2 linked regions of the Stegostoma tigrinum genome follow. The protein of the gene in region 2 interacts with the protein of the main gene of each other region in a pairwise test. Links are inferred from orthologs where the notes say so. Each region holds a gene or a part of one and is shown on either strand. Other genes may lie near its edges.

The links.
Region 1: the proteins of thap7 (region 2) and lurap1 interact in a two-hybrid assay, tested with the Homo sapiens proteins (2 studies listed by BioGRID and IntAct). The two-hybrid records come from large-scale screens. The link is inferred for Stegostoma tigrinum from reciprocal best matches to the Homo sapiens genes THAP7 and LURAP1.

What each region holds. Positions count from the first base shown.
Region 1 is NC_081361.1:65,210,325-65,222,717, forward strand, and holds the start of lurap1 (leucine rich adaptor protein 1), read left to right. Parts: upstream 1-6,147; 5' UTR 6,148-6,384; coding exon 6,385-6,618; intron 6,619-12,393. UniProt on the Homo sapiens protein: Acts as an activator of the canonical NF-kappa-B pathway and drive the production of pro-inflammatory cytokines. Promotes the antigen (Ag)-presenting and priming function of dendritic cells via the canonical NF-kappa-B pathway.
Region 2 is NC_081391.1:26,349,490-26,361,492, forward strand, and holds thap7 (THAP domain-containing protein 7), read right to left. Parts: upstream 5,505-12,003; 5' UTR 5,420-5,504; coding exon 5,368-5,419; intron 5,071-5,367; coding exon 4,980-5,070; intron 4,862-4,979; coding exon 4,706-4,861; intron 3,115-4,705; coding exon 2,995-3,114; intron 2,449-2,994; coding exon 1,743-2,448; 3' UTR 29-1,742; downstream 1-28. Other genes in the region: zinc finger and BTB domain-containing protein 20-like, read left to right, coding at 8,075-9,647, 10,721-10,977. UniProt on the Homo sapiens protein: Chromatin-associated, histone tail-binding protein that represses transcription via recruitment of HDAC3 and nuclear hormone receptor corepressors.

The sequences.
Region 1 (12,393 bases), on a different chromosome or scaffold from region 2:
AATAACTGGAAATGAGAGAGAGTACAGACAGACAGCTTCTCATCCTTCAGACACTTAACATTGTCTATAAAAATAGTAGTGACTCTCTAGGAAGATATTCCACTATTTTAGAGGCAGGTTTTGTCTCTCACAGGATAAAGTTATTATAAATGTCACAAAGGCAATAAGAATATAAAATGTAAACTATTTCCTCCTTTTAGCATTTTATCGAAGTAATTATACATTTATTTTCTTGGCAGGATGACCATCATCTTTCAGTAGTTCTCTGAAGACCCAACATGTGTGATACAAAAGATTTTGATATGCTGTTTGGCTGACACCAGCAAAGATTTTTGTCAGTGAATAGATCCATTAAATTACTGATGGATCAGTGCAAATATTTTAGGCTATGCAGTAAGTCATTAGAATTGTGCAATTTAATCAATTCCAGACCAAAAAAAAAACCCCTTGACCATTAGTACTAAATTAATACTTATCCCTACAGTTTTAAACAGTTTTAAAGCAAACTTATGAAAATTTGCTTTTGAGCATAAATCTGTATTTTAGAAAGGAAGTGCTTGATGTTCAAGGTTGTGAAATTAAGGAAAAGAATTATAAGCTGAACAATAATTTGCATTCACCAAAAGTTAAATACTGGTGAAAAGTTTACAAAAATATTAAATTTGTATACCAAGATGCAGAATCCATGTTATTAAAGCAGTGCAGTCGAAATTGATTCGTTATTTTTTGGAGAAAACTTGTCTCTGTGAAATACAGCAACGAGCCTAATATTTATGCAAGTGAAGATCCTGAATAGAGTTTGATAACATTTTTGGACAATAAATTCACGAATGGCTGTGGAATTCATGAATGGCTGTGGTAGTCTGAGTTAAAAGCCACCAATTCATTTTTGTGTATCACTCTGTAAACAAGCGTTGACGTCCATCTCAGTTTCCTCCTGTGATTCCCAGCATTCTAGATACCAACCTACAGCCAATTTGATTCACCCTATATGACATCAAATTACAACTGGGAGTTGCTGGGTACTGCAAAGGCAATGGGCCCTGAAAATATTCCAGCGATCATACTGAAGACTTATGCCCAAACTAGATATGTCCTTAGACAAGTTGTTCCTATCCAATTGCAACACTGGCATTTACCTACGGTATGGAAAATTGTCCAGTTATGTCTTGTACACAAAAATCAGGACAAATCCAACCCAATCAGTTACCACTCCAATGGCCTACTTTCAATCATTAATAAAATAATAGACAGTATAGTTGACAGTACTATCAAGTGCCAGTTAATCAACAACAGACTGCTGGCTGACACTGATATTGATTTCTGCCAGATCCACTCAGCTCTTGACTCATTGTAGCCTTGGTCCAAACATGGTCTAAAGAGCTGAACTCAACAGGGAAAGAGAGGGTCACTGCCCTTGATATCAAGTCAGCACTTGATAGAGTGTGGACCATTGAGTCCTTGAACCCACTGAAACTGAAATTAACAGGAATTCAAGGGGAAACTCTCCACTGATTGAAGTCATATATAGTGCAAAAGATGATAGTTATGGTTGTTGGAGGTCAGTCATCTCAGTCACAGGATATTGCAGCAGGAATTCCTCAGGGCCGTGTCCTAGGCCCAATCATCTTCAGTTCTGAGGAAGGGTCACCGGACCCGAAATATTAACTCTGATTTATCCTTCACAAAATAGCAGCAAAAAGATGATGTGTCAGCTGGAGAGGAACTTTGAGAACCCAAAATGTGTGGCATTCACTGCAGAATTCTTAGCCTTTGTCACAATGCTTGCACAGCTGGTTCAGTTCAATGTCTGGTCAATGGTAATCCGAGGATGTTGACAGTGACAAATTCATTGATAGTGACAAATTCAGTGATAGTAATGCCATTGAATGTCAAGGAGCAATGATCATATTCTCTCGTGTCTTGCCCGGCACTTATATAACACAAATGTTACTTGCCACCTGTCAGGCCAAGCCTCAATATTGTCCAGATCTTGCTCATTTGGGCACAACTGTTTCAGTACCTGGGATAATCACAAATCATGTCAAACATTGTCCAATCACCAGTGAACTTTGCTGCTTTTGACCTTATGATAAAGGAAAAAATCATTGATGAAGCAGCTGAAGACGAAAGGAACGAAAACAAAGTTGCTGGAAAAGCTCAGCATCTCGACATCTCAAATATCAAATCTCATTTTGTGCTCTTTGGACTGCCTCTGGTGGCACTGGTTTGCAGGATTTTGTGAAGTCACCATTGGTTAAATTTCACTAAAGATTTGAGATGTATGTTGTGCCTTGTCCATATTTCTGAAGCGCACAGGAATGTAAGTAATATTGCTGCCACAGACGATGAACTCAATGTCAGATTTGAAGTCTTTCTTAACAAACTCTCAGTTTCTCAGGTGTCTAAAGGCTGTGCTGGCATACTGGAGGTGATGTTGAATTTTCTCTTAATCTTTGTTCCAGTGAAGCAGTGATTCATATTGTCCAGAGGCTAGCCATAGATCTTGACCGTCACATTAGGGTTGAGTTTAGTTCTAGTGACAGTCCTGTACAATGGGAACAAGCTGGCAGAGGACCTTTGTCTTTCGGATGTTTAGCCTAAAGCCCATTGTCTTATATGTTTCGGTGAATGCATCAACAATGATTTAGGGTTCAATATTTATATTTCAATATTTACACAAAATTAACGAACAGAGTTTGTGTAAAACCTGCATCTAATGAATAGTACTTTGAGGTTAGTTATACTATTCATTAATTTTAGAAGCTGTAATGCTTGACAATAGCCTCTGTGTCATTGTGCCAGCTCCATTGTCTGACTCAGATGTTACATAGTTCCACTTAGTGGATTCCAAATTCTGTTCATCATTAATCATAGGTAGTAAGTGAGTGGAGCCCTGGAGTGCATCACTTGAGAGAATGGTGAAAATTAATTCAATAGTAAACAATCAAAAGGATATTTGGTGAACATTTGAAGGGAAAATGTTTGGAAAAGAGCAGAAGAATGAGATAAACTGAATAGCTTCACTTTGGTATAAGAATGATGAGTCAAATGATGTTCTTCTATACTGTATCATTCCATGCCCATTTTCCTCTCACGGGACAGGGACTTCCCTGAAAAGGCCACCATTCGTTGAGCATCCCTGATTGCCCTTGAACTAAGAGGTGTGCTGGGCCATATCAGTAGGCAGTTAAGAATCAATCACCTTGCTGTGGGTCTGGAGTCACGTGTAAGACAGGAATGGGAATGGAAGGGGATGAGAGAGAAGGTTGAACATGGCAGAAGCAGTAGGGGGAGGAGTAAAGTAGATTGATGGGGAGGGGAGAAAGAATGTGAGAGGGAGGAGAGAACATCCATATGATCAGGTGGGAGGGGTTGAGTTTCCACCACCTTCCTACCTCTCTCCACTGAAGTCCAAGAATGTCTGAAGTTGGCCATTCCTCTTGGACACCAGTTGAGGATCTTAAGTAGCTATTTTGGAGCAACTTAATGGCTTCATCCTGACACTGTTGTTAGTCAATCAGTTTCAGGTTTTGCTTTCTGTGGCGGATGAGACATACCACAGGGGCCCTCATTGTAAGCCTATCCTGTGACGGATTGAGAGACCTGAAATTGGAAAGGGTAGGGAGGGTGTACTCATAAGAAGCCACGACCCAGCCATTGTCAACCTCTTCCTTCCTGGCAATCTCATCCCAGCCCTGTAACCTGGCTGGAAAGGATTCCTTATCAATCCTCCGGTAAAAGCCCACTGCAATCCTGAGGCAACCACTGTTTTGAGTGGCACTTTAAGGGAATTTCTCAAGAGCACAACATGTCTGACTAACTTGCTGATTTTTTTAAAAGTAGTAACAGACGGTTCTTGAGGGCAATGCAGTTTATGTAGTATACATGACTTCTAGAAGAGACAGTTCAAACAACAGACTTGTGAAGAAAGTTAGATCTCAACGAATGACACAGTATCAATATGAATACAATAATTTTGAGTAATATGAAACAAAGGGAAATTTTTAATGGATGAGTTCCAGGCTGGCCATAGTTTGCACTGTTGGATTCCCCAGGTTTCCTTGACACATATTAATGATCTTGATCTTTGTGCAAAGAGCACACTTTCAAAAATTGCTGATGATATGATACTTGGATGCATGGTTCATTGAGAGGAGTATTGTAGTGAACCTCAGAAGGACATAGAAACATTGAGGAATAGACAGAGGCGGCAATCAATGAAGTCCAATGCAGGGAAGTTAAAGGTTTTGGCAGGAAGAACAAGGAGAGAAAATATAAAGGGTACAACTCTAAACGGAATGTGCATGTTCATTAAAGATAGCAGAACCGATAATAAAGCTATCCTGGGCTTTATCTAAAGGGACCCAAAACTTGTATGAGATAACAAAGTGTGGAACTGGGTGAACACAGCAGGCCAAACAGCATCTTAGGAGCACAAGAGCTGACGTTTCGGGCCTGGACCCTTCATCAGAGAGGGGGATGGGGTGAGGGTTCTGAAATAAATAGGGAGAGAGGGGGAGGCGAATCGAAGATGGATAGAGGAGAAGATACGTGGAGAGGAGACAGAAAAGTTAAAGAGCAGGGATGGAGCCATTAAAGGTGAGTGTAGGTGGGGAGGTAGGGAGGGGATAGGTCAGTCCGGGGAGGATGGACTGGTCAAGGGGGCGGGATGAGGTTAGCAGGTAGGAAATGGGGGTCTGGCTTGAGGTGAGAGGAGGGGATAGGTGAGATGAAGAACAGGTTAGGGAGGTGGGGATAAGGTGGGCTGGTTTTGGGATGCAGTGGGGGGAGGGAAGATTTTGAAGCTTGTGAAATCCACACTGATACCATTAGTCTGCAGGGTTCCCAAGCGGAATATGAGTTGCTGTTCCTGCAACCTTTGGGTGGCATCATTGTGGCACTGCAGGAGGCCCAAGATGGACATGTTGTCTAAGGAATGGGAGGGGGAGTTAAAATGGTTTGCGACTGGGAGGTGCAGTTGTTTACTGCGAACCGAGCGTAGGTGTTCTGCGAAGCGGTCCCCAAGCCTCTCCCCAGTGTAGAAGGAGCCACACTGGGTACAGCGGATGCAGTACACCACATTGGCGGATGTGCAGGTGAAAATCTGCTTGATGTGGAAAGTCTTCTTGGGGCCTGGGATGGGGGTGGAGGGAGGAGGTGTGGGGCAAGTGTAGCACTTCCTGTGGTTGCAGAGGTAAGTTCCAGGAGTGGTGGGGTTGGAGGGGAGTATGGAGCGTACAAGGGAGTCCCGGAGAGAGTGGGCTCTCTGGAAAGCAGACAAGGGTAGGGATGGAAAATATCTGGAAAATGTTGGGGTCGGATGGCAGACGGCGGAAGTGTTGGAGGATGATGCGTTGTATCCAGAGGTTGGTGGGGTGGTATGTGAGGAGGAGGGGGATTCTGTTTCGGCGGTTATTGTGGGAACAGAGTGTGAGGGATCAGTTGCAGAGATGCTTTTTCTGACTCAGCTAGAGCCCTGTGTCCAGGTCTGAACGCTGCATATTAGAAAGGCTGTGTGCGTGCACTGGGGAAGGTGCAGAAAAAAAAGATAGATTGGAGAAGTAAGGACTGTTTTCCTTTGGAGAAGTTGAGAGGAGGTTTGATTGGAAGCATTCAAAATCGTGAGGTCTGGACGGAGTAAGCAGTGAGAAAATGTTGCCGCTTGCGAAGAGACAGAGGACACAGTTTTAGGTTAACTGGGAAAAAAAAGTCAAGGTACTTTCACGAGCAGGCAGGCTCTCGAATTTTGCTTGAGAATTTGATGAAGATAAATTCAACCAAGGTATTCAACAGGGAATCAGACAGCTATCTGATCAATAACATGCGGGATTACGGAGAGATAGTACCGTATTAGACATTCCTTAGAAAATCCGGTTCAGACGTGAAGGGCTGAATGGCCTCCTGCTCTGCAACCTGAAATCTGCGAACTGTTGGTGGCTGTATCCTTTTCATATGCCCTTGTGCTGCATTCACTCACAAAGTGGAAAGGAAGAAGGTTTAGTGGTGACATTGGGACTGGAACGGCAGTTGGATTGACGGCGGAGTTCCGTTTTTGTCTCCTCCGAACACTGGGGAATAGCACAAGGCCAGGGCAGCGTGAGCGGGGGTAGGTTTTGAGTGGCGCTTTGTTTCTTTCCATTACGGTAGAGAGGGTCGGGTGACAGAGCCGGAGCTGTCTTCGCCGCAGTCTCTTCATTCATTCATTCAGCGATGCCTGCAGGTGGAAATTGGTGTGAAGCGGCGCCGGGGCCGGGGAAGACAGAGGCTCAGTAGGGAAATGTGTATCCTAGGGAGGGTGCCTGGTGGGGAACAGAGCTAGTCTGCTTGGTTTTAACCGGACTGAATCCCTTTGGACCAACACATCGATTCATAGATCTTGTCATGGAAGATAGTGCGAGCGAATTGTTGCCGGATCTGAAGGATCTGGAAAATAAGGTTGGACGTAAGACGCCAGAAGGCTTGCTGCGGTGGTTGCGGGAGGACGCAGCGCGGCTAGCCGGGGAGAAGGTGGACACTGCTGGGCCGAGCGGGGACCAGGCGGCGCTGTTCCCTGGGCAGAACAAGAAGCTGCCCCAGGGGCTGGCCGAGAAGATCCGAATGCTCCGGCTGGAAATGGTGAGGGGGTAGGGTGTTGATTTTTTTAAAAAAAACGTTACAGCTTGGCGTCTGCAGGTAAATTCTGGGCGAGTCGGCTGTAGCGTATGACTATCTCATTTCCGCCAGCAACGCCGTTCCTATGGAGGTTGCAATAAGTAGATGTTCGATACTTATATTGTCGGGAGCTCTGCCTAAATCCTACGGAAGTGCTCCCGGCATTGACCGGCTGCATTTAGCAAACAATTGTGACCCCCAGGCGGATCTCACCTGAGAAATCTTCACATTAACCCCTTCACTGAATGTTACGAAATGATCTCACACCTAGTCTTTCATTTTTAAAACTAAACTCACTTAGACTGATTTTAAGAAATTGTTCCTTTATCAGGTTAAAGGAAATACTCCCTTCAGGATTGGGAACAGTGTCGGGACCCAAGTCACAAGCTTCTGTACTTGACTCTGAGGAGGGGTCTTTGCTCTCTCCGCTGTGCAATAGTTTGAAAACTTGTTGAGGTAATGGGACTTGTTTCCTATTGAATCAACATTTTCCACAACATTTCAGTTAATAATTAACTGCTTCAAATGTGACTTTTGTCTTTTTTTGTTGAAACACTGAGTCAGTTTACAACGACGTTTGAATAGATATTTGAGTTAACGCTTCATTTCAAGTAAATTAATGTTGCTGGCTGATGCAAAATAAAAGGTCAGGTGCATGAATAAGTGATCTGAGTTAGCTCTGAGAAGAATCCATTCTGCATTAAATTGGCGAGGATCTCTGATTGTCAGTTAGCAATTCGCGACTTTTGAGGCTAAACCACGCCCTAATCTGAGTAACCCATAGACACTCGGAATTGATTCCTGTATCTATCTCGTCTCTAGGATCAACTTCCACTCAAGGTCAGAACTAACGCCAGTACTGGAGCCTTTGCTTATTTTATATACAAGTTACTTAACTTTCCCATTGCGATTTGTCAAGTTATAATTTCCTACTCCACCTGTTTTGTCTCTGGGGGTCGCTTTGTCCATACGATCGGTCCCTCCCACTGCAAATTTCACTGAAGATTTATGCTAACGTTGCGAATAAAGGCGTAAGAAATAGTAACAGGTGTAGACCATTTGGCCTCGTGAACCTTCCATCATAAGATTATGGCTAATTTTTTACCGTGGCCTCAACTCAGAATCTTCCCCTCCCCGCACCCCCTATAATCCTGATTTTCTTGAGGATCAAAGGTATTTCTAACAACCGTGATTAAATTCAACAACCCAGTTTCCCGTTCCAACGATTAAGAGCCCTCTGAGAGAAAAGAAATTCCTTCTCTGTTTTGAAACCCCTTATTCTTTGTTCTAGATTCTCCCCACAAAGGGAAACGTTCTCCTAGGATTTGCCTTGTCAGGCACACTTAGAATCTAATTGAAACATAGAGGATTCAAAGCCTTCTAAACTGTAAGGAGTAGGGTCCAACCTGTTCCCTTTGCTGGGTAAAGAATGGGTTCATCCCAGGTGACTCTGAACTTTCTAAACTTCATCCAATGTGAATATAAACCTTCCCCAATAAGAAAGCAAAGCTGTATGTAGTATTTTAGATGTGTTCTTACCAATGCTGATTTTGTTCAAACTAAATACATTGTGCTCTGATAAGACTGGTGGTGTCTGATGTGCAGGAGCACAGGATATGTTTGAATGAGCTGTAAATGAACATTACCTTTTGACGTGGCAACTATGCATTCTTCAGTTTTTGTCTTACAATTCCAATCACTCAAATTGTATAATCCCCTATCCAATATTCATCTGCTTTGTAATATTTCTACAGTATATGAGCAGGTTATTTCTGATACAGCTAATTATGTCAAGTGAAGCAGTCTTTAGAAATGAAAGAGAATTTGTAGGTTCAAAAACAATGGGTTTCAGAGGTTGATGGATCCAAAAATATTGGGGACATGGGAGAAGTGAAGTGGGATATTTACCCATTCCTCCTTCAGTCTTAGAAATTTAACATTCCTATTCTTAAGAATATACCCTTTTATAGGAACATTGGAGCAGGAATTGGCCATTCTCCTGTACAGTGCCCATATCCTTGAAAATTATGCAAGTAAAACAAGTTTGAGTACACAGTGTATGCTATAATATACTCCTGACATATTGCAAATTTAGGGGTTTGAGATATTTCTATGATTGCATAGATCTTTATGCTAGAGTATTAGAACTGGTGGCATTCCTAGTCAGGATTTCCTATTGACTTGTGGGGAGATGGTGGGCTGTAGTGTGCAGTATTGTTAAGAATCTACAAACATGGCAGGGTGCAGGTAATGCTAAAATATTTGGCTGTAAGTGGGTGACTGGCCTGCAGAAGATGCAAAACAGCTTCGAGTATTTCTCCAGATTTGTTGCTACTGTTAGTGATACTGATGGTTCTGACTTAGTCCATGCATTTTATAATTAGACTGTATTTGTTGTATTAGATTTTGACCAACAGGGGATGCAACATTTTGTTCATAGACGGAAATCTGTAAGTGAGTGAGTTTGAAAGGGGTTAATTTTCCAGGTTCTAGGCTGAGTATGAGAGAGTTTGGGTTCAGAGGATTGGTTAGTGGTTCTCCTAGCCAAAGGATGCAGCAGCATATTGAGGAAGGTGCGGTAGGGTCCGTGTGTAGGTAGGAATATGGGTTTGCGGCCTCAGATCTGCTGAGCCTTGATCCAGGGTCGGGTGAATGTACTAACTTTGGGTAATGGGAGGTTTAGTGATGGAGAGGAACAGCTCCGAGAGAGAGTTTACACTGGAGTATAAGCATCCTAGACAAAATGATAGACTCGAAGAGACTGCCACAATTTGTATCAGGTTATTATAAAACCTGTTAACTAATCCATGCCAAAAAGATTATGCCACTGCATTCAGACGGTGTCCTACCCGCATTATCCAAATTGCTCGGTGTGACTTGGGGAAAAGAAAAGATTCAATGTTTGCGCATCATACAGGTTCATATCCTTGCCCCTGACAGATTGCAAACAAACTGGTGTAGATTCCATAGAATAAAGGCAAATGATATTATAGAAACAATTACTTCTGTGTTGCCAACTGAAAAGGCATTCAAAAGATTTTCCCCCTTTATTCCAAAGTGAGAAATGATTTAATTACAAATTTATGTTCTAAAACCTTCTTCCTAATGCTCAGGAGTGTTGCCCCTTCAAAAAAAAATTAGTGTCCTGAGATGTGAATAGAAACTGCTTATCAAAATTGCTATTATTCAATGCATATACAGATATTGTGCGTAGCACAAACTGTTACCAAATAGACAGGTTAAAACTTCATTTTTGACATTGAATTTCAGCTATCTTTGAGAGAGAAATTTGGGAAATTTAGATTGAACAGTGAAACACATCTGTGTATTTTTGGGTATCGGTGTTTCAATGTCAGTAGTTTAAAACCATGTAACACTTGTATTTGTAACACAAGGAAAGTAAACAGGAGGAAGCTACATGTAACTCCAAAGCAAACCAGTTCTTTTCTTCCCCTTTTGCTGAAGCTGAGCCAATTAATTTCACATCCAAAGATGCTGTCAAAATGAGCTGCGTCATGATACCAGTTATGACAAGTAAAAATAGGCCTCCACTTCACATGGGTAAGGAGGGTAAAAAGCATCCTGGGTTCTCATCTCCAACAGCCCCATATTGCTTATACTTGAATGGCCAATTGAATGACTTGCCAGAGAGTGACTGATGTCAATGACGTTGTAGTTTTTTTTGGTTTTGATCTCTTCCAGAAAGGAAATTTTAATTTTCTATCAGTAAACTAGAGATTTCATGTATTTCAATCCTGTGAATTCTTGAAGTGTGATTGAACAGCTTATTTCGAAGTGCAGTTATTTCAACCGCAGTGCAATAATAATTCACATTCAGATTCTGAGATTGTTGGGCCTCTTTGTGTGGGAAGAAGTTTACCACATGGTGGAGCTAACTCATATACCATTGTGACTGAATGGTGAATGCATAGTCTGCATCATTTTTGGTTTTAAATGACATAACCAGGTCCATTTTACATTCCTGATTTATGTTCCTCTGTGACAAGAACAAAAACCTGCACTTGTGTAGTACTTTTATTGTTGTGAAATGGTTCTTTGTAGGAACATTATCAGACAAACTGTGACAGTGAGCTTCATAAGGAAATATTAGGTCAGATGATCAAATGCTTTATCAGAACTAATTCTTCAGGAGGGAAACAGGAGAGAAGGGAGAGATTATGGAGGGAGTTCCAATGTTTAGAACTATTAGCAACTGAAAGTGTGGCCACCAATCATGGAACAATTAAAATTGGAGATGTGCAAGAGAATAGAATTGGAGGAGCACTGCTGTCTTACAGAGTCAAGGCCTTGGAGGGAATTGAATAAAAGGATGAGAATTTGAGGTTATCCTTTAACTGGGTGCCATTGTGAGTCAGTGAACATGTAGGTGATGGATAAATGGGCAGTGTAACAGCTGGAAATTCATTAGCTGACAGGCAAGGTCATTAACAACAGTGAACCTATCATCAGTGCTTGTGTTCCATCGAATTGGAATGTTCTTAGAGTGGAGAGCAGATAGTTGTTGAAATTATGCTGGTTTAGCGAACAAAAGCATTATGGGACAGTAAAGGTTTACAAAGCAGTACAGCCTGGCCGTGGGGGAAAATCCTGACCACCCCCAGATGGGCTTGGCCTGCTGTGTTCATCCAGCCTCACATTTTATTACCCCCAGATATTAGTGGCTTGTAGGAGCAAAGCATTTTGTGGTGTATCACTGTGTAGTCAGTTATAAGAGATGTGGAGGTTGACAACATCAGAAGGATCAATGTGTGATCCCACAGGAACCTTGGTATCTGACTCTTTATAGCAGAAAGTTTGTTTTCTATATTAGCTTAAATGTTCATTACCACCCCTACGTACTATGATCATTCGCTTCATAGCTGACACCACCATAATTGTCAACCAGGGGCCAACCACTATGACTATTGATGAAGATATGGGCGATAGTGACCAAGCATTATGGAGATATGTTGGTGGTACATTCCAGAAAGAGAAGCCCTGGAGTTTTTTTTTGACACTAACTCATTTATCAGGCTTGTGGTTCAGTTCGAAAGTTAGAGGGCTAGATTTTATAAGATATTTTGGTCTACATCCCCATCCCCATTCCCACCCCAAGCTTAAAATGTTGTGGGGAGCCAGCTCATTGCCCCAAATATAGCTCCACCGCAACTTGAGAGCACTTTAGGGTGAGGCCTTTGCCATTGTCTTGCGAGGAAGCCATGCCTTGAAAAGCTGCCAGTTGGTTGGATTGACCAACTTGATCTGTCATCCCACCAACACCAGTGGGAGCATTGGCAGCAGCTGGGAATGCAGGTGATCTCAGCATACCAAGCATCCTGTTGTTAGTTCATGATTTCAGATGGGCATGTGAATGAGTTGGAGTGGATTCATGCGGCTAGCTTGTGGGTTAAGGATGGTGGGGTACAGGTGCCTCCAATGCGCACAGGGGCAAAGAAGGCCAAGTTCCTGTCACCTCGCCCAATACCAGTGCTTACTCTGTCATGCATTGCCTCCCGTCCTGCTGGTTGAATATCACCAGAGGAGGAATTATTTGTCAGTCAGTGTTGATTTAAGGATCTCGATAGGCCCAAGGATGGGCCAGCTGTCCAATACTGCTACTTGTTGTAACGTTTCAGACGGACTGGGAACAGTATGCTGGCTGGTAGGAAAGGCTACTTTGTGGATTTTTAAGCATATGCCCACCCATCAGCAACAACCTTCAAACCTGCCCATTTTGGG
Region 2 (12,003 bases):
ACCAGGTGTGAAGGAACTCAAGCAAGGCTGTCCTGAACGGTGTGTATTGTACTGTTTAAACGTTGACCTACAACTACATGTGTTTATACAACACCTATAACATCAAAAAGTATCTCACGGTGCTCACAAAAGCATAATAAAGCAAAATTGGACACTGATCCACATCAGGAGATGTTAGTGATCAAGCTTTTGACCATCTCCCCTCTGTCATAAAGGATGAACGAACAAGAAAAGTGTAAAGGGGAATTCCAGAGCTCAGGATGCAAGCAGCTGAAGATACAACAGTAAATGGTGAGCAATTAAATTGAGGATGTTCAAGATGATAGAATTACAGGAGCACCAATAATCGAGAGTTATGGGGATGTCCTGACAAGCCAAAATAACAATCTTAGCAAACCCTGTGAACAGGAACCATTGAACTACTTTCCTAGTCATTTGCTCCACCCATAACACATCTTTTCCTCCACGTTTGTATCTGTATAGATCTATGTGGTGGGGAGAACAGTTTATAAGGCAGGGTTAGAGTTTTAAGAAGTAGAGGTAGGTCACCAGTACATAAAATTGTTTGTCTGTAGCTAGAATCTATTCAGTTTTAATAAAGAGTAATTCCTCCTAAGTGCAGAAAACTGGGATTATGAGACAGGTAAATTGGGGGAATTTTGTGTACTTTCATGAAACACTTAACTTTGTGATGACTTCATGATAGCATGGTTTGATTTTCAGCACAGTAACACAATGAGGCTTAACAAGATGGAGGATGTGGTCAGTGGGGTTTCGAACCTTAGCTCTATGGAGGGTAGAATATCAGAGGCTGGCCAGGAGCATTTTGAAAGAGCCAAATCACATCAGCTTTATCTTGTACAATTATGAGCTTTCCTAAAAGCCATGGTAAATCAACAAGGAGAACAGTCATAGCCTACAGGCAGAATCCCAAGACAGCCAGCCAATCTACAAACACTGATACAAGGTAATATTGAGACACAAGCAATCGCTTCTGCAGTCTGTCATTGCAGCAAGTTTGTTTTCAATATTTTTTGTCTATAAATAGAGAGCGAGGGGACTGTAATTGGCCTTACTATCCAGCGTGTTAGCTGGCAAGGGTGACAAAGAAAAATAAAACTGGTTCAAAGTCCTTCTTTTCTCTGTCTGTATCCATGCCAGAAAATGCACAGGGGTGACTGTTGAAAGAGGCACGACTGGGCTTAGTTGTGTGCTGAAAGACATGGTTGAATATTCCGCAAACCAAATGGAAAAACTGCAACAATGTGGTACGATTTCTTGTGGCCTTCTGGAACAGAGGTAATGACTGAGGGTACACAGACCAATGATTTAGAACCCTCGTATTTTGTACGACAACCAATGTTCTCAATCATTAAGATCACAGTGAGAACATTTACTTTTACGTTAAACAGTAAAATGTTCAAGAATTCACCTCATCTCACACCACAAAACCTAGCGACAGATTATAGTTAACTCTTCATAATTCAAACTTTGGAGGTGTGATTTCTGTCACTCCACACAAGTCAGAGGGAGCTTAGAAAATCTCCTCCATTCACCATAACAAAACTCCCCACTCTACCTCCCTCCAGCCACATTGCTTCACATTCCTCTATCCCACATCGTCTCCCCAGCCACTCTCCTATCGTACATTTGCCGCTCCTCTCCTCAACAAATTTTACTGCTGGTTTGTTTAGCAAAAAATCAGCAGCACTGGTTAAATAAGTGAGTGAGAGAAAATGTAGCTACAGGTCCACAGCCTCATCCACCACTTGCACCTCAAATACTTCAAACTGTGGCTGGTAGTCCTCAGTTAAGTCCAATTCAGTACATCCATCTCGAAGCACTTGATTTTGAGGTCTCAAGATGGACGTGATTCGTGCCCGCAGACGACTCTCCCGCTTCCTGCTGGCCCGGAGCTCCTTGGTGACCTTCTCAAAGGCCTCTTTCAGAGCCTCTGCCTTCATCTTCCAAACCAGTGGGCAGCCTACAGTGTAACTGTGCTCAACAGGAATGTAGGCACCAGGTTTGGGAGGTGGATTGGGAATGCGAGCCATATACAACGCAATGGGGACAGGGTCCCTGTCATCATCCAGCTCCACTTGACAGTCAGGTGATTGTTCATTCAGAAGGACAGACTGAGGCAATGAGATGTCCTTGGAGGCTTCCTCTGTATTTCCAGCTGCCTCCAACTCAACAGACTGTGAATTCACTTCAATGAGATAAATGACAGCAGGAGTTGTGGCTTCTGGCTCCGGCTGGTTTATGGAGAGTGGTATGTCAGGAGTTGATGGTTCATACAAGCAGAGACTTTCACTCACTCTCTCTTGGGGATCAGAATAACCCAGAACAAAGGAAGAACCATCTTGAGAAATGCTGAAGGCCATCCCTGAGCTAGTGTCAGCATTCCTGAGATCAGGAGCAGGTAAACAGGCGCTGCCATCAGTGAAGCTGTTAGATAGATAGGAAGGAAAATAGCTGAAGGTTAATAAAAGGACAGGGAGTGACCAATTGTGGATATTTTAATGTCAGTTTCCTCCCCCTTTTCTCAAGAACTCTGGAGTGCTGTTCATTCTTCACTGCCTAACCAAAATGACCATTATCTGATTGTTGGCATACAAGCAGTAGTTACTGAATACTTGACTGAGATGGCATCACAATGAGCTTGACTGTGCCCTCATTTAACATCTCATAAATAGGTAACTACTTTAAGATTAAGAGTCTTGGCTCACTTGTCCCTTCCCTAATCCAGTGGTTGGAGACAGGCAGCACTCACCTACCCCTGACAGGAAACCGCAGTCTCTACATCAACTATCTGGTCTCTAACACCCGAGCATGCACTAGCCATTTGCACCGAGTCAATGAACAGAGTAATAGAAGAAATACAAAAAGCATTTTTAGTTAAGATATTGATTTCGAGTGAACAGCGTAAATGGTTTCCAAGCAGTATACATCCTGTGAATCACACGGCTGAAGCAGTCACCAGAAGTTTCTCACCATTCATTGGTGCGTACAGACAATGATTTTGCATTGTGTCCCCCACTCAGCGCCACCTTTGCTTGAGGACATGGCTGAAATAATGTGGGGACAGCGTCATCTCGCAGGCGGTGATAACGACTGGGGAAAGAAAACAAGGAAAGCAGTGAATTTCCGCCACACACACACACATCTCCCCCCCCCCCCCCCCCCCACCCCACCGGAAATAAAGCTGGCCTCAATTGTAATGTGTTGGACCTGCGTGATGATGGACCACAGTGATCAGAGGAACCTGGGTCTGATGGTACAAGGCAACAGATTTGAAAGGCCAGGGTGATCCACCAAACTATGTTCTGATGTTTTGGGAGAACGGACTGGGATCTGTTGGACTGGTGATCAGGTGATCTGGGAACTGATAAACAGTGGTGATTAGGTGAGCCAAGATCTGATGAGCTAAGGGATCTGATGGACCTTGGCAATCTAAGAGACTGTAAAGATCATGTGGACAAGGATCTGAGTAATACAGCACAGAAACAGTCCCTTCTGTCCAGCCAGCCAAACATAATCCCAAACTAACTAGTTCCACCCGTATGCACTTGGTCCACATCTCTCCAAACACTTCTTATTCATGAACTTGTCTAAATGTCTTTTAAAAGGTGTACCACTTTCTCTGGAAGTGCATTTCACACATGAACCACTCTATGTGGAAAAATTGCCACTCTTTTTTTAAATCTGTCTCCTCTCAACTTAAAAATATGCTCGCTAATCTTGAAGTTCCCCCACCCTAGGGTAAAAAATCCTACCATCCACTTTATCAATGCCTGTCATTATTTTATAAACGTCTATAAGGTCGTCCCTCAACCTCCTATTCTCCAGTGAAAGAATTTCCAGTCTATCCAGCCTCTCCTTAAAACTCAAACCCTCCATTCCCAGCAAGATCCTGGTAACTATCTTCTGAACCCTCTCCAACTTAATAATTTCCTTTATGTAACAGAGAGACCAAAATTGCATTACGTAACTCCAGAAAAGGAGTCAGCATAACGTCCCAATTCCTATACTCAAAGGTGTGAACAATGAAGGCAAGCATGCTTAAACACCTTAACCATCCTATCTATATGTGACATAAACGTCAAAGCCTCGGTCTCTCTGTTCTAGAGCCCTACCCAAAGCCCGACTTCTAACCGTATAAGTCTTGCCTTTGTTCATTTTACCAAAATGCAATACCTCACATTTATCCAAATTACACTCCATCTACCACTCTTCAGCCCACAGGTGTGATACAATTGATCTGATGTTCCAGGGATTGGGCAAACCAGAGTCTATCAGGTCTTGGTGATCTGATAGACATGGATCTGGTAATCCATAGTAATCTGTGGAGCAGTGTGTAATAGAATCAGAGAATCCCTACACTGTGGAAGCAGGCCATTCAGCCCATCAAGTCTACACCACAGCTCTGAACGGCATTCCACAATACCCCAACCCTATACCTATAACCATGCATTTCCCATGGCCAACCTACCTATAGCCTGCACATCTTTCAGGGCAATTTATCATGGCCAATCCATCAAACCTGCACATCTTTGATCTGTGGAGAGAAACTGGAGGATCCCTAGCACTGTGCAGTAGCAGTGCTAAACATTGAACCACCATGCCACTCAAATTATTAATGGGCTGTAGTGATTTGTTGAAGCAGGGCATATTGGACCAACATTTGACAGATGCTACAAATTACCTCAGCCCCACAAGCTCAAAACAGTGTTTCTCAAAATGTTTTGAACAGAAATAGATGAACTGCGACGGTGGATCCCACGGAACTGTCCCATCTGGATTCTTGCGGCAACAATTCAGCAACCAGATCTCACGCTGATGTCTTCCCTTCTTGGGCAACCTAAGTAAAATGAAACTCATGAGAAGTGAACGTGACCACAGTAAAATATGACTGGGTGGGGGATTAAACAGACCTCACTGAGGGAATCAACCTGAGGATAGGGAGAGGTCTCACTGACCTGTGAAACGTGACTCCATTAATTCTCGAATCCTTAGTGTCCCGTGATGTGCAGCCCTCAGCCGAGCAGTGTCGGGGCATTGCTCTGACCCCTGCATGACATAAGAAGAGTTCACCAGAGTCAGACCACATTGAACCCCATAGCCAGTAACCGCTCTTTGCTTGCGCCCAAACACACCATCTATTCATTCACACACCCAAATGGAAGCATGCACCATCTCTCCCCGCAGGCAAACCCTACGAATCCTGCTACTCAGTCTCTCCTCTCCCGTCCCCCCACCCCATTCCCTTTACAATTACCCTTCACCTCCCATCTCTTATTCCCCCCCCACCCCAAGCTGTCTCTTCTTTCTCACCCTGGTACAAATATCTCTCTCCCTCCTCATTACCTTCTACTCTATCATTCCCCTTCTTTCCTTTCTCTTCAATCATCCACTCCATCTCTGCCAGCCCAACCCCCTCCTTTCTGTCTTTTAACTCTCTTCTCCCCTTCCCAACCACCCCACACCTTTGCCTTACTCCATCACCTCACCTATTCCATCTTGCCTGTTCCCACAAGCTTCATCCCTTCCTTCCCCACAGTCCCCTACCCAAATCCAACCCCTCTCAATCCCACCATTTCACAATTCACCCTTCCAATTTCTCTAATGCCCCATCATCCCCCCCTCCAAATTCACCCTATACCCTATTCCCCTCTTCCTAACGCCACTCCTCATTACCCAACACTGACACCCACCGCAATTCCCTTCCCACCACCCAGGGTCTCCTTAATTACCCTCCCTCTGACTTTCTCTTCCTCCAGTCATCCCTATTACTTCCTTCCCTACTCCCACTTCTATATCCCACTCACCACCACCCACTAATCCCCACACATCACCTTTCTCCCCATCCCAATCCTTCCCATCCATCGTATCCAAGTCACCCTCCACATACCCATCACTCTCTTGACCATAATCCCCTCCCATTTCCACCCCATATCATTCGTATAATGGCCCCCATTCCCACACCATCCATTTTCCACCTACACCCCTCCCATCATCCCCTATCCCTCCATCCGTACCCTGCCCTGCCCCATGACTATAATCTCCTGTCGTTCCCTCATCACCCGACTCCTCGGAACCACCCCCAAGCCTATATCCCAATTATCTCTACTCCCACCCCTCCCCCAACAACCCTCTTCCCTCACTCTGTCCTCGTTGACCTCACCAAAATGGCCGACCTAAGAGCCTCAAACCTACGTCACGGCACTCAGACGCAGGGCGGAATTGGGAGCAGGTAGCGTTCTTGCCTTCACGACAATGGAAAGCTCAGGTCCAGAAATATTCGGGAAGACTCTGAGGAAATTCAGGTGGCTTCAATCAAGACAGCTACGTTTTTCCAGATCGCGATGTCGTTGCGCATGCGGAACAGGCGTTGTCGGTGGTATCCGCCTTGCGCCTTGACGTCGCCGCCGCGCTGCGCCATGACGCAAGGCCCGGCTGGAGACTGACTGGAGGTTAGTGTCGCCTGAGGGAGCGCGGCCCTGGGACCCTACCGGCCCAACAGAATGCAACCTAAAGAGTGCGGGTGCCAAGGCAGCCCAGGCCCTGACGATAATTCCGCCACCCCCTCCCCCCGCAGACTACTCCAGTACATCAAGGAAAGCGGAGCGGGTCAGGGGTCAATGGCCTCGCCTCGGCAGCTCGCTGATTCGATAGTAGCAAGCACGTGACAGCGTTCACGCCCCCCCACCCCCCAAAAAACTCCATCACGACAATACCCCCCCGTCCCACGTGTGTGTGTGTGTGGGGGAGGGGAATATCCCCCCCGTCCCACTGCTGTGTGTGGGGGAGGGGAATATCCCCCCCCCGTCCCACTGCTGTGTGTGGGGGAGGGGAATATCCCCCCCCGTCCCACTGCTGTGTGTGGGGGAGGGGAATATCCCCCCCGTCCCACTGCTGTGTGTGGGGGAGGGGAATATCCCCCCCCCGTCCCACTGCTGTGTGTGGGGGAGGGGAATATCCCCCCCGTCCCACTGCTGTGTGTGGGGGAGGGGAATATCCCCCCCCCGTCCCACTGCTGTGTGTGGGGGAGGGGAATATCCCCCCCCGTCCCACTGCTGTGTGTGGGGGAGGGGAATATCCCCCCCCGTCCCACTGCTGTGTGTGGGGGAGGGGAATATCCCCCCCCCCGTCCCACTGCTGTGTGTGGGGGAGGGGAATATCCCCCCCCCCGTCCCACTGCTGTGTGTGGGGGAGGGGAATATCCCCCCGTCCCACTGCTGTATGTGGGGGAGGGGAATATCCCCCGTCCCACTGCTGTGTGTGGGGGAGGGGAATATCCCCCCGTCCCACTGCTGTATGTGGGGGAGGGGAATATCTCCCCCCCCCCCGTCCCACTGCTGTGTGTGGGGGAGGGGAATATCCCCCCCCCGTCCCACTGCTGTGTGTGGGGGAGGGGAATATCCCCCCGTCCCACTGCTGTATGTGGGGGAGGGGAATATACCCCCGTCCCACTGCTGTGTGTGGGGGAGGGGAATATCAATCCCCCCGTCCCACTGCTGTGTGTGGGGCAGGGGAATATCAATCCCCCCGTCCCACTGCTGTGTGTGGGGCAGGGGAATATCAATCCCCCCGTCCCACTGCTGTGTGTGGGGGAGGGGAATATCAATCCCCCCGTCCCACTGCTGTGTGTGGGGCAGGGGAATATCAATCCCCCCGTCCCACTGCTGTGTGTGGGGGAGGGGAATATCAATCCCCCCCGTCCCACTGCTGTGTGTGGGGGAGGGGAATATCAATCCCCGCCCCACTGCTGTGTGTGGGGGAGGGGAATATCAATCCCCCCCCCCGCCCCACTGCTGTGTGTGGGGGAGGGGAATATCAATCCCCCCCCGTCCCACTGCTGTGTGAGGGGGACGGGAACGACCACCATTACCCTCCCCTGCACAAAATCCTGTTGTGAGGGGAGGAGACAGCCCCACCTACATATGCCAGAATGACACCACCAGCCGCTTCCCTTTCTCCAACCCCCGTGTTGTTCTCACACTCTCTCTGTCTTCATTTCCCCCATCCTCACTTTTTCCATTGGTTTGCAGGCAGTGCAGAGCAACTGAGCAGGATGTCGGAGCAGCTTCACAGCATCAACCTCCAAAACTTTAGCAAGTCACTGCTGGAGACACTGAATTCCCAGCGCCTGGGTGGCCATTTCTGTGATGTAACAGTGAGGATCCACAACACAGCTCTTCGAGCACACCGCTGCGTTCTGGCTGCAGCTAGCCCTTTTTTCCACGATAAACTTTTGCTGGGTTACAGCGAGATCGAGGTTCCTCCCCTTGTCTCAGCCCAGACTCTACGGCGGCTGGTGGATTTCATGTACAGCGGCTCTCTGATGGTCTCTCACGTGGAGGCTCTACAAATCCTCACAGCAGCAAGTGTCCTTCAGATTAAAACCATCATTGATGAATGTACACGCATTATTTCGCAAAATGCCTCACAAAAGACTCAGGGACTCCAACCATTAGTCAGCCAAAAGATGGACCTTTCTGATGAGAAAGAAGCCATTATTTGCCAGTCAGTCAGTGACCAGATCCACAAATTTTCTATGGGTTTAATTGAAACGGCATTGTCACCTCATGGAACAGAGAAAGACTTTGATTTTGTACGCGGAGGTACAAAGAACGTGGCAACAAGTGACACAGGGTACAAAGCTGAAGAAATTAGCCCTAATCTGAGCAGACAAGTTCCATCTACACGACAAAAGGGAGTTGGAGAACAGGCCATTGCTGACCAGGAGAATCTGTCTCTGATGGACACTGGCCGTAACAGTGAGGTACGTGCTCTATGGTACAACACTGCAGCCAATCAGCGTCCAGAAATGCCATTGTTAGCACAAGGCAGCCACAGTCGCAAGCAGCGCCAGCCAATCCGCCTCCAGATGGCAGATGGAAGTCAAGTGACCATCAAGGAAGAAGATGATGATCTCCTTTACTGTGGGGAGAGCATCTCCAGTGCAAGTGTCTCCGATCAAACTGCTGAGCATATCAACCAAAGTGAGCAAACTGAGGATATCTCTGAGACAAATGCCTTTGATCCCAATCAAAGCACAATGGGGGATCGAAGAGATTCTGCGAGTCATTTGAGCTTGACCGGCAAAGGGGATGAGCTGGAATTTTTCAATGCTAGTGATCTCTTACCTGAGGAACTGAAGTCCTTTTGGCATGGAGAGAAAGAGGAGAAGGAACCATCCTTACCACAAAACCGAAAAGCAGACTGCAAGTCTCAACTTGATGCATCCTACCAACGGCCTTCAACATTCATGCAAGACTTTCTCCCAGCATCAGCTGTGCACAACAGTCCACGAAACCAAGGCTGCTCTGTGCAGTATGATGTTCAGGGAGATAATAATGCAGCCAGTGCTGCCAGTCACCGAAACCTCTTCCAGATGAACGTTCCTCAGTCACCTCACCTTCCAGCTCTGCCGTCCACCTCACAGACATGTATACCCAGCATTTCAGCTCAGCCATCTTGCCAAAACCCGGCTGCGTTTCTAGATGGAGGCCAGACAGTCCCAGCTACCTCTCAGGCCAGTCACAGTTCCAGTGAAACCGAAAAGAAGCCCTATGGATGTGCACAGTGTGGGAAGACATTCAGTTCCAGACAGAATTACGCCAAGCACATGTTTGTCCACACAGGTGGGTTCATCATCATTGTTCATTTTAGTTAAAACCATTCTTTCAATCCCATTCTTTAACCCAGATGCTATTCCTAGGATGACTGGTGGAGAATAAATAGAGATTTAATTTAAGTTTTCTCCATTTCTTCCCTGAAGGTGCTGACTATCACTGGGGCATAGTTCCTAAAGGTTTTGACTTTCACTGCTGTCATTTGCCATAATGAACTCAGTGAGAATAAAATGAGGCTGATCGTGATCATTAAACCTGTTGCTTTATATGGCCGTGGCTTTATGTAATACCAATAGATGAAAAGCAATCATCACATTCAGAATCAGATCCCCTCACTGACAGGAAAGCAAAGCACCCGAGCCCTCTGAGCGCCATCAAGACTTATTTTAAATTCTGTGTGATATGTACTAGGAGCACCTATATGTTACTGCAAATTTTGCTGTGGTGCAGCTATCCTCGTTGGATCAGCCAATGGAAGACCAGGCAGGAATGTCAAGGGTTGGGTGTTAGCTGAGCTGGAAATGGCTAGAATGAGAGTTCCAGGAAGCACAGATCTGGCAATTATGGAAAACAAAGACCTGTGGATGCAGGAGCCTGGTTCTCCAGTTCTGGGCCATTTGCCATTTTTAAGAAGGATCAAACTGGAAGCCATCTCCAAGTACGTCAAGTCCTGGCTCACTATTACTAGTTACTCGATGCTTTCTCCTCTCCTGGAGATGTTGAGACATATTGCAATATTGGAGGCTGGCCAGCCACCTTTTTAAATGACCAGGCTCCGAATATCCAGCAAAGTGACAAGGCAGTGGTCAGGAACAATAATTTTGTTTGGTTTTCCTTTATCCCTAGCCTTGTGATGCTGATGGTGACCGCCGAGCAACACCACCCTCCACGCCTAATGCTGTTGCATCCGTTACTTAGCTCAGGTTGGCAATGAAAACTGAATATGTGCACGGTCTGCTGCTTCTCGCACATTAGGCCATCAGTTCATTACCTACTGAATGGTTTTTAATGATGTTCATTTTCTGCCATTGCAGTCTCACTTTTCTCTGATTTACTGACCTCATTTCTCCCCACCTCTGCAGGTGAAAAACCCCATCAATGCAGCGTGTGTTGGCGGTCATTCTCGCTTAGGGACTACTTGATAAAACATATGGTCACGCATACAGGAGTGCGAGCGTACCAGTGCCCGGTGTGCAATAAACGTTTCACACAGAAGAGCTCCTTGAATGTGCACATGCGGCTGCATCGTGGTGAGAAGGCTTTCGAATGTCACGTCTGTAACAAGCGTTTCTCTCACAAGACTTTGCTGGAAAGGCACATGGCCACCCACATTATATAAACACGTGTGTGAGGCTGAACCAAGTAAATTCCACATGTGCTGGATTTACCTGGGATAATATGCATACTGAGCAGACCCACTTCATGCACACCAGGAGGTTGTGGTCAGAGTTATAAATCAGCTATACAGCAACGGTGTAAACACAGGATGGGATAGTTGAGAATACAGCGCAACATCCCCCCCACCCAACCCCCAAATAAAGCAAGGAAGCTCCCCAGATTGTTCAGTGAGTGTGCCATCCAGGTGAACGGAGAGCAGAAGGAGTCATTTTAATTCCCAGTCTATGTTGACGTAACTCACCTAGTCAGGATACCGAAGTTGGCATCTACACCAATGGGAGGAGAACTAGCCAAGGTTCTTGTGTGTTAATTTTGAGTATGGACAAAATCGGATTTAACTCTCACAGTGAAATATTACACAGGTATTTTCAACCCAGGCTTATGTTAGGGCAGGTCTCTTGGAGCAGCACATGGGTCGTAAATGTCCTGCAAACCCATTTCCAAAAAATAGTTGAATGATGCTGTTAAATTATGCATAGGAATCTGACAAAAGCTAATTGATCAGTGAAGTAAAAGCGTTATCAGAATAATCTCAGCTTTTGAGAGTTTGCAAACAGCAGTCCTGATGAATCTGCTCTAGTTTTATAGCTCATTGTGACAGCTGTTCACATTAGATCAAGCTCAAGTTATATTATCTTACTACATGAATTAAATAATAAATAAACAGCTAGCTAAATCAGTCATGCCATAATATTTTAAACATTGCATGGAATTTTTACTTTGTTAATTAATAAGATAACTGTGGTGTTCTGATGTGTTAGGGGAATTACAATTGAGAGTAAATTTCTGCTCAGTCACACTCACCATTTTCACCCTCTTCTCAATTTGATTAAAGTTGCATCATTTAACAGTGCCAGTGATAATGGGAACTGCAGATGCTGGAGAATTCCAAGATAATAAAATGTGAGGCTGGATGAACACAGCAGGCCAAGCAGCATCTCTCTGATGAAGGGTCTAGGCCCGAAAC